Linked DNA regions of Tribolium castaneum. The main gene of each other region encodes a partner of the protein of the gene in region 2 in a complex. Links are inferred from orthologs where the notes say so. Each region holds a gene or a part of one and is shown on either strand. Other genes may lie near its edges.

Region 1 (5,041 bases), on a different chromosome or scaffold from region 2:
CTTTGGGTGTTGTCTTGCTGATAAAACCAACGGGTTGTCGCTCCCTTACACGAGCTATGAGATGGATAAGGGTGGCAACACTGCATTGATGGCCCCCGAAATTATTTGCCAAAAACCGGGCACTTTCAGCGTCTTGAATTATTCCAAAGCCGACTTGTGGGCCGTAGGAGCCATAGCTTACGAGATTTTCAACTGTCATAACCCATTTTATGGCCCAAGTCGGTTGAAAAACTTTAATTACAAGGAGGGGGATTTACCGAAATTGCCCGACGAGGTGCCAACTGTGATTCAAGCCTTGGTGGCCAATCTCCTGAAGCGCAATCCCAATAAGGTTGGTAATGATTTTTTTGTTTTTCATTAAGGGTAAATTATTTTTCAAAATAGCGTCTCGATCCGGAAGTTGCGGCCAACGTTTGTCAGTTGTTTTTGTGGGCACCTAGCACGTGGCTAAAGCCGGGCTTGAAAGTACCAACAAGTGGCGAGGTGATTGTCTTTTGTTTAGGTAAAATAGCAATCGTCATTCGTTTGTTTTTAGATTTTGCAGTGGTTGTTGAGTTTGACGACGAAGGTTTTGTGCGAGGGCAAAATCAATAATAAGAGTTTTGGGGAGAAATTTACAAGGAATTGGAGGAGGACGTATCCCGAGTATTTGTTGATTTCTAGTTTTTTGTGTAGAGCTAAGTTAGCAAATGTTAGAAATGCGCTTCACTGGATTCAGGAAAATCTTCCCGAACTTGATTAAACTTAAGGCTATTTATTGCGAGGTCGAGGGCTGTTTTAGTTAGACACATGAGACTGCTAGATTGTGATTATGGTTAGTGTTTCTTTCTATAGATTCGGTTTTATAGAAATAAAAACACTTGATTTGTACATTACTGCTATTACTCACTGAAATATATATTTGGGTTTAAGAAAAGTCGTTTCAATCGTTCAACAATTTAATGGTAATAGAAATTTGGTAACAATGAACAAAATTACTGGCAAATCACTTTAAACAACAACAATAAGTTAATAAAAATACAAACGACACAGAAGAGTAAGATCCACAAGCCAGCGGTTCCTGTCGCGTCCGAAATGAAGTTTTCTTTTTTCATCAGCTTGTTCTTGTGTTTGATGCCTGTAACGTCTCTCATCATTTCGAAACTCAACATTTGACTTACTGTTCAAGTGGATGTTTAGCTGAATTTCGCTGTTTGCGACGACATCGCACAATTCACAAACGAATGTTTTTCCTTGTCTCTCTTCCTTCATTTTGTGCCTTCGCCCTTCCAAATGGCGCTGAAGGATCTTCACACTGGTGACTTTAACATTACATAATTCGCACGAAAGGGCCTAAAAAATCAATCACTAATTTGCTTCCCTCAAACTGGCTCACATTTTTATCGCTGTTTTCTTCATTTTTCTCGTTTAATTGCACTTCTTCGATCGAATTATGGAATTCGGACATTTTCGCACGTTCGCATGCCGCCGCAAACGCTATCACCTGACTTTTTCAAACTTTTTTTCCGACTTTATCTTCCTCGACCTCGTCAGTGTTTCAAAGCCGGTCAAGATGAACGCAGGTCTTTACGCCGACGGTGCTCAAGTCCAAAATTTCCATTTTGACGATCCTCTCAGTCGAGAATTGTTCGATTTTGAGATTCTCTGCGCCCACGGCAGTGTGTGCGTTCATAAACTTATTTTAATGACCCGAAGCCTCTATTTTCGCCAGTTGTTGGAGAACCAGGTAGCCATCAGGGAAATTACTTTAGAAGAGTTCAGCCAGGATGTGATGAGAAAAGTCGTACGCCTGATCTACGGAGATATTGTGAGGGTCCCTGAACTGCAAGTCGAAGAGTTTGTGAAGATTTTGCACTTTTTGAGAGTCGATTATTGGGCCAAGTTCAACAGATTGTTGATGGATGGGGGCGATTTAGGTGAGAAACGACAAAAAACGGAAATTTTATCTAAATTTAAAAGTTTCAGCTGCCATGGCTTCGACTCCGGACATCTCCACTGAAACGGAACCCTCAACTACGGACGACCTGGGCAGCAGGAGGTCCGGAGACGGCGATTCCATGGCTCTTACTGAATAACGATTTTTGTGCCTATCGAGTTTTTCAATAAAGGTTTCGAATTCAGCATTTCAGTCGTAGTTTTTTTACGTTCCTTCTTTCATTGAAAAAATTCAAGGCTAATTTTAAATTGCCTCCTTTTTGCCAACGCAAAAAATATCCCTAAAGAAATTTTCACAAATAATTTGTTGCCTTCCAAGCAACTAAATCAAGGTAAATAGTAATACGTTACATTCCAAATACTCGAATTTAATTTTTTTATCGAGTTTTGGTCAAAAAAAATAATTTTTTACTACAGCAAACTACCAATGTAACAAATCCGAAACCTCTAGATTTGTTTGGGTCGCATTTGTTGTTAAAGGGAATATTTAAAAAACCTCAATAAAATGACTAACTCAAGCATTAAGGACGAAGACGTGGACACGACGAACCTCCTCAAGAGTCGCGAGTTCCTCTACCGCCTCATTATTAGGTAAAACACCCAAAACCGGCAACCTAACCTAAATTTTTCCCTTCAAGCCAACTCTTCTATGACGGCCACCAAAGCATCGGCACTAATCTCACGGCCGCAGTCCAAGCGGACCCTCCGTGTGCCCCCAGTGACCGTCTTTTTCATATTGTCATGGCCGGGTTAGAACATGAGCCTGACCGTAAGGAGAGACCCCAAAACCCCGGCATAGGGAACAATAATATCGGTCCGGGGCTTGATCTCGAATTTGAGACTGAGTCAAATATCCCAGCGCCCGAACCCGCATTGTATGAAACTGCGTACGTGACGTCACATAAAGGGAATTGTCGTGCTGGGTGTTTTTCAAGTGATGGGCAATTAATTGCAACAGGGAGTGTGGACGCTAGTATTAAGATTCTGGATGTTGATAGAATGTTGGCCAAGTCGGCGCCGGACGAGATGGATCCCTCAAGGGGCGAACAACAGGGGCATCCTGTCATTAGGACGCTGTATGACCACATGGAGGAGGTCACTTGTCTGGAGTTCCACCCTAAGGAGCCCATTTTGGTGTCAGGGTCGAAGGACAACACGATTAAGATGTTTGATATCTCGAAAGCCAGCGTCAAGAAGGCGTTTAAAACAATATCTGTACGTTAAAAATTCAGGATCAAGCACCCTTTTTTAATAAAAATAAAATATTTCCAGGAGTCGGAACCAATCAGAGCCATGTCTTTCCACCCCGGGGGCGACCACATGATCGTCGCCACCAACCACCCCGTCGTCCGACTGTATGACGTCAATACCCTCCAATGCTACGTCTGTGCTTTCCCCTCCCACCAACACACCCAGAGCGTCACTTGTCTCAAATGGTCGCAAGACGCGCGAGTTTTTGCCACTTGTAGCAAAGACGGCAATATTAAACTTTGGGACGCGGTCTCGAACCGTTGCATAAACACGTTTCAGAAAGCACACGACGGACTTGAAGTCTGTTCGGTCGTATTTTCGAAAAACGGCAAATATTTGTTATCGTCGGGGAAAAACTCAATTTGCAAATTGTGGGAACTGACAACAAGCCGGTGTTTGATTGCTTATACGGGAGCTGGGACGACCGGAAAGCAGGAATATGAGGCTCAGGCTGTTTTTAATCACACTGAGGATTACGTCCTGTTTCCTGACGAGGCAACGACGTCTTTGTGTGCCTGGAATTCGAGGAATGCTTCAAGGAAGCAGTTGATGTCTTTGGGACACAATGGGGCGGTTAGACTCATAGCGCACAGCCCCACGCAGGCCGCCTTTCTGACCTGCTCGGACGATTTTCGGGCCAGGTTTTGGTACAGAAGAACCCCAACATTATAAAAAGTGTTACTTTCTTGTATAGGCAACCAATAATGCGCGGGCATTTTTTATTTTAATCTTATTTTTTAATTATAACTAATTAAGGCTGCGCGTAACATTACGTTCCATGTTGTGAGACAACAATTTGCGGCAATTTTTGTGTTAATAAAGAGATAAAAAGGATGATTTTGTTTGTGTGGGCAACCAGTTGTGCAGTTGACGTTTGTCACAACTTTTGGTGGTTGATTGGCGTTAATGGCACGGTTTTAAATTGATTAACAATGATTATTACACTATTTTAGCATTTCAGACGTTGAGAATTACCACATTTCACCGGTTACGTGGCGCCAAAATGAATTGCACGGTATTTGGGTGGTAGTTTAGTGACGTGACCTAACCTTACTTTTTTAGCAATTTTTTCTGTTTGTGATAAGTTTCTGTGTTTCGAGATGTTATTCGTTTTATGTTCCGGGGATGGCACCGGCTGATTTCAAAGCCGGTGATCCGATCGAAGTCAAGGCTGTGAAAATGACGAGTATCCACACGCAATTGCCGTACGAGTATTACTCTCTTCCGTTTTGTTTACCTAAAGGTGGTCTAAACGCGATACACTACAAATCGGAGAACCTCGGGGAAGTACTAAGGGGTGACAGGATTGTCAACACGCCGTACGACGTGAAAATGGCAGTGAATACGCCCTGTACGCTGTTGTGTAATACCCCCAAAAATCCGATTAATTGGAGCGTGGGGGAGTCCCAGATTGTGGTGGATCGGATCCAACACGAGTACTTCGTGCATTTGTACGTCCGCACTAATTTTTTCTATGACTGTGTTCCTAAAACGTGTTTCCAGACTAGTGGACAATCTCCCGGCTGCTACGCCTGTTTTGAACCCCGAGACGAACGAAATCCAGTACGAGCACGGCTACAGGCTGGGTAATTCGGTCGGTGATCGCAACTACATCAACAATCACCTCAAGCTCACCCTTTTGTACCACAACCCGACCCCGTGAGTAATCATCAGGGGTAATTGTCCAATTATAGGCAATGTATTTAGGGAGATTTACCGCGTGGTTGGGTTCCACGTTGAGGCCAAGTCGATCCACATAGATGAGTACACATTTGTCGATAAGACGTGCTCATTCCCCAAAAAGCCGATACCCCAGTTGATTGACCCCCAAATTGTGGACACCACCACTGGCACC
Region 2 (3,425 bases):
GTATTATAAACGTAAAGTATAAAAAAATATCATTAATATTTGTTTAAAATTTCAAGAAAAAAATGTCAAATATTTTTTTAAGTGTTACGTTGGCACAAATTCTAATTGTTTAAACGACCCAATTTCATTATCAATTAAAAAATTAAAAACAGAAAAATAATTTCCATTGTACTTTTTTTAACTCTGCCTTAAAAACAGATGCTGTCTGTATTTCGTCACATATTATTAATATTCTTGCCTTAAAATAAGTAGTAAAGGACTTTTTCGTTTTAATGTTAGGCAGATTGTAAAGTAGAAAAATTTTACTCGTTACTTTTGCTGTTAAAAAAAATTCTTTCAGGTCGAGCTGTGGCAGAAATATATCGCGTGGGAGAAGAGCAATCCGCTTCGCACCGAAGACACGGCCCTCTTGACCAAACGAGTGGTCTTCGCCCTTGAGCAATGCCTACTTTGTTTGGGACACCACCCTGATATTTGGTACCAAGCGGCACAGTTTCTCGAATACAGTTGTAAAATTCTAGCCGAGAAAGGGGTACTAATTAATTTTGGCGCCAAACTTAAATTTGTTTATTTTTTGGTGGTTTTAGGACGTCAACGCTTCGAAATTATTTAGCGAAGAGGCGGCAAATATGTTCGAGAGGGCGACGAGCTCGCTCTTGAACAAAAACATGCTACTTTACTTCGCCTACGCTGATTACGAGGAAGGGCGTTTGAAATACGAAAAAGTCCACCAGATTTACCAAAAGTACCTTGAAATTCAAGATATCGACCCGACACTTGTACCAATACAACAAACAAAAAAAACGGTGTTTTTATCGTAATTTTTAGGCGTACATCCAGTATATGAAATTCGCCAGACGGGCCGAAGGGATCAAGTCGGCTCGGGCCGTTTTCAAAAGAGCGCGCGAAGACAATCGCTCCAAGTACCACATTTTCGTCTGCGCCGCCTTGATGGAGTACTATTGCAGTAAAGACAAAAACATCGCGTTTCGAATTTTCGAACTGGGTTTGAAAAAATTCGGGGATATCCCCGAATATATCACGTGTTACATCGACTATTTGTCACACTTGAACGAAGACAACAACACGCGAGTGCTATTCGAGCGCGTCCTGTCATCTGGAAGTCTAGAACCGGAAAAATCCGTGTACGACATTGGTATTTTTCACGACCAATTGACGAAACAAATTTCATTTTTAGTGACATTTGGAACCGTTTTCTGGAATTCGAGTGCAATATCGGGGATTTACAGAGTATTGTCAAAGTTGAGAAAAGACGATCGGAAGTCTTGTCAAAAATTAAAGAATTTGAAGGCAAAGAAACGGCACAATTGGTCGACAGATACAAATTTTTAGATTTGTATCCCTGCACGGCCACGGAACTCAAAAGTATAGGGTGAGAACAACTGTGAGATTAAGTTGGCAGCACTTATTTTTATTTTATATCAGGTATACAGAAGTGATCAACATAACGGGGGCGGGGCGCAACCACATTTTACAGTCGATAATCAACCTCGACGGCGACGCCCCCTTGCCCCTGCCCGACTACTCACAAATGATCCCCTACAAGCCCAAGTCCAACCCCCTTCCGGGCGAGCATCCGGTCCCCGGTACGTATAATTTTTTTGCCAACGCGATAACCAAAGTTTTTTAATTTTTTGACCAACGCGGTAACCAAATTTTTTCATTTTTTCCCAGGCGGTGCGTTCCCCCACCCTCCGGTGGCGGCGTACCTGTGCACGCTTCTGCCGCCCCCGGCATGTTTCCGGGGGCCTTTCGTCAACGTGGACCTCCTCATGGACATTTTCAACCGGATCCAGTTACCGGATTCGCCCCCGCAGCCGTCGGAAAATGGGGGCGATGTGAGGCTTTTTGATTTGGCAAAATCCGTTCATTGGATCGTCGAGGAAGGGGGCGGAGTCGGGATTAAGAGGAAGAAGAGACTGGGATTGGCTATGGATGGGTCAGATGATGAGGATTTGCCGCTGCCGCCGACCAATGATATTTACAGGCAGCGGCAACAGAAGCGTGTGAAATGATTTAATTGTGCTTTGTTCATTGTGACTTGTTTAAGTATAGAATAAATTGATTTCATTAGGATTATTCTGGTGTTTGATTTTACGGCGCCCACCGGGGAACCAAATTTTATTTATTACAAAACTCAAAATTATAGTTCCCTTAACGACTTTCTTTCAAAATACCTCCGCAAGGCGGCGTCAAACACTTCCCCAACTGTCCTTTTTTTCCAAATGTCAATTTTCGGTTTTTTGGGTGGGGGTTCAGGTGCTTGTTCCGGTTGTTTTTCTTCTTCTTTTTCCTCCTTGATTTCTTGTTTCTTCTCTTCCACTTTCTCCACCGTCACTTTTTTCTCAGTTTCTTCCTCACTGTCGGAAGAATCGATGCTGAAGTCAGAATCGGCGTCTAGATTCGAAGGGAGATGTTCTTTCTTCACTTCTGTTTCTTCCTCCTTTTCGCTCTTATCCGATTGTGAGTCTGAACTGTGGCGTTTTCTGTATTTCCTCTTACTTGGCTTATCTTCTACTGTTTCTTCTTGTTTCTTATCTTTTGTTTTTTCTTCTTGTTCCTTATCTTTTGTTGTTTCTTCAAAATTTACTTTCTGGTCGTACAAATGGCGGTAAAACCCGTCCAAATTCCCCTGTTTCGTCACGTCTCCAATCGATTCCAAATACTCCTCCCTCCTTTCCAATTCCTCCATCTCTTTCATTTCCTCCAATTTCTTCTTGTAACTACTAGTGACGAACGCCTCCTTATCTTTAAATTCGTCACCTTCCGTCTCCCTTTCTTTCTGTACTTGGCGTTCAATGCGCCTTTCATTCTCTTTTTTGCGTCGATCAGCAGCAGCAAGCAATTTATTTATGTATTTGGGCTTCCTGTCCAGATCTTTCCTACTCAATTTTGACTCCTTACGTTTCTTGTCCATTTCGTCGTAAATCTCGTCATACTGGAACACTGTTGGGTCTTCCTCAACTGCCCGATTTTGCAAAATTTTGTCTTGTTTTTTAAGCGATTTTTTGGCCCCCGTGGGGACTGACTCCTCCTCATCGGACTCATCGAAAATTGCGGGGCGTTTAATCACTGCCTTGTCCTTGTTTGGGACGATTAAACCATACCTAGCCAGAAAGGCACGCAAAAATCACAATTTTATTCAAAAAACTTGCAAAAACTTACTGTTTTGACATTGTCGTTAGTTTGACGTTTTGAGGTTAGACAACTGTCAATTAACCCTCAAGAAAATTATTTTTTACACTTTTCTAAGACTCTTACGTCTCTAGAACAATTTAATACGTGACTGAATTGTAGATAAGTTAAATAAAATTATTTTTTTAACGAAAAATTTATTTTCAACGACAACAACATAACAATCCCAAATCCCCTATTTCGGTACTTCACTCAAAAATCCTAGGTAA

The links.
Region 1: the proteins of protein suppressor of forked (region 2) and CstF50 are in contact, whole or in part, in a crystal structure (PDB 6B3X), measured with the Homo sapiens proteins. The link is inferred for Tribolium castaneum from reciprocal best matches to the Homo sapiens genes CSTF3 and CSTF1. Residues at the interface, in NP_001317.1 of Homo sapiens: Tyr581, Pro582, Lys583, Pro584, Asp585, Thr586, Gln588, Met589, Ile590, Pro591, Phe592, Pro594; in NP_001028693.1 of Homo sapiens: Arg118, Glu216, Ala217, His226, Pro227, Ser228, Asp230, Phe231, Thr240, Arg242, Leu243, Tyr244, Cys251, Phe252, Val253, Ser254, Cys255, Tyr270, Ser272, Ser273, Ala274, Asn275, Gly291, Val292, Ser293, Asn294.

The regions. Positions count from the first base shown.
Region 1 is NC_087398.1:3,467,665-3,472,705, forward strand, and holds CstF50 (cleavage stimulation factor subunit 1), read left to right. Parts: upstream 1-2,314; 5' UTR 2,315-2,440; coding exon 2,441-2,526; intron 2,527-2,573; coding exon 2,574-3,150; intron 3,151-3,207; coding exon 3,208-3,858; 3' UTR 3,859-4,020; downstream 4,021-5,041. Other genes in the region: Pink1 (serine/threonine-protein kinase Pink1, mitochondrial), read left to right, coding at 1-331, 385-483, 536-742; zinc finger protein 346, read right to left, coding at 975-1,117, 1,161-1,332, 1,376-1,447; TM9SF4 (transmembrane 9 superfamily member 4), read left to right, coding at 4,190-4,201, 4,249-4,637, 4,690-4,845, 4,894-5,041. UniProt on the Homo sapiens protein: One of the multiple factors required for polyadenylation and 3'-end cleavage of mammalian pre-mRNAs. May be responsible for the interaction of CSTF with other factors to form a stable complex on the pre-mRNA.
Region 2 is NC_087401.1:11,673,715-11,677,139, reverse strand, and holds the end of protein suppressor of forked, read left to right. Parts: intron 1-340; coding exon 341-532; intron 533-587; coding exon 588-779; intron 780-828; coding exon 829-1,145; intron 1,146-1,198; coding exon 1,199-1,393; intron 1,394-1,446; coding exon 1,447-1,607; intron 1,608-1,695; coding exon 1,696-2,036; 3' UTR 2,037-2,100; downstream 2,101-3,425. Other genes in the region: nuclear speckle splicing regulatory protein 1, read right to left, coding at 2,165-3,128, 3,187-3,197; NAD-dependent protein deacylase Sirt4, read right to left, coding at 3,405-3,425. UniProt on the Homo sapiens protein: One of the multiple factors required for polyadenylation and 3'-end cleavage of mammalian pre-mRNAs.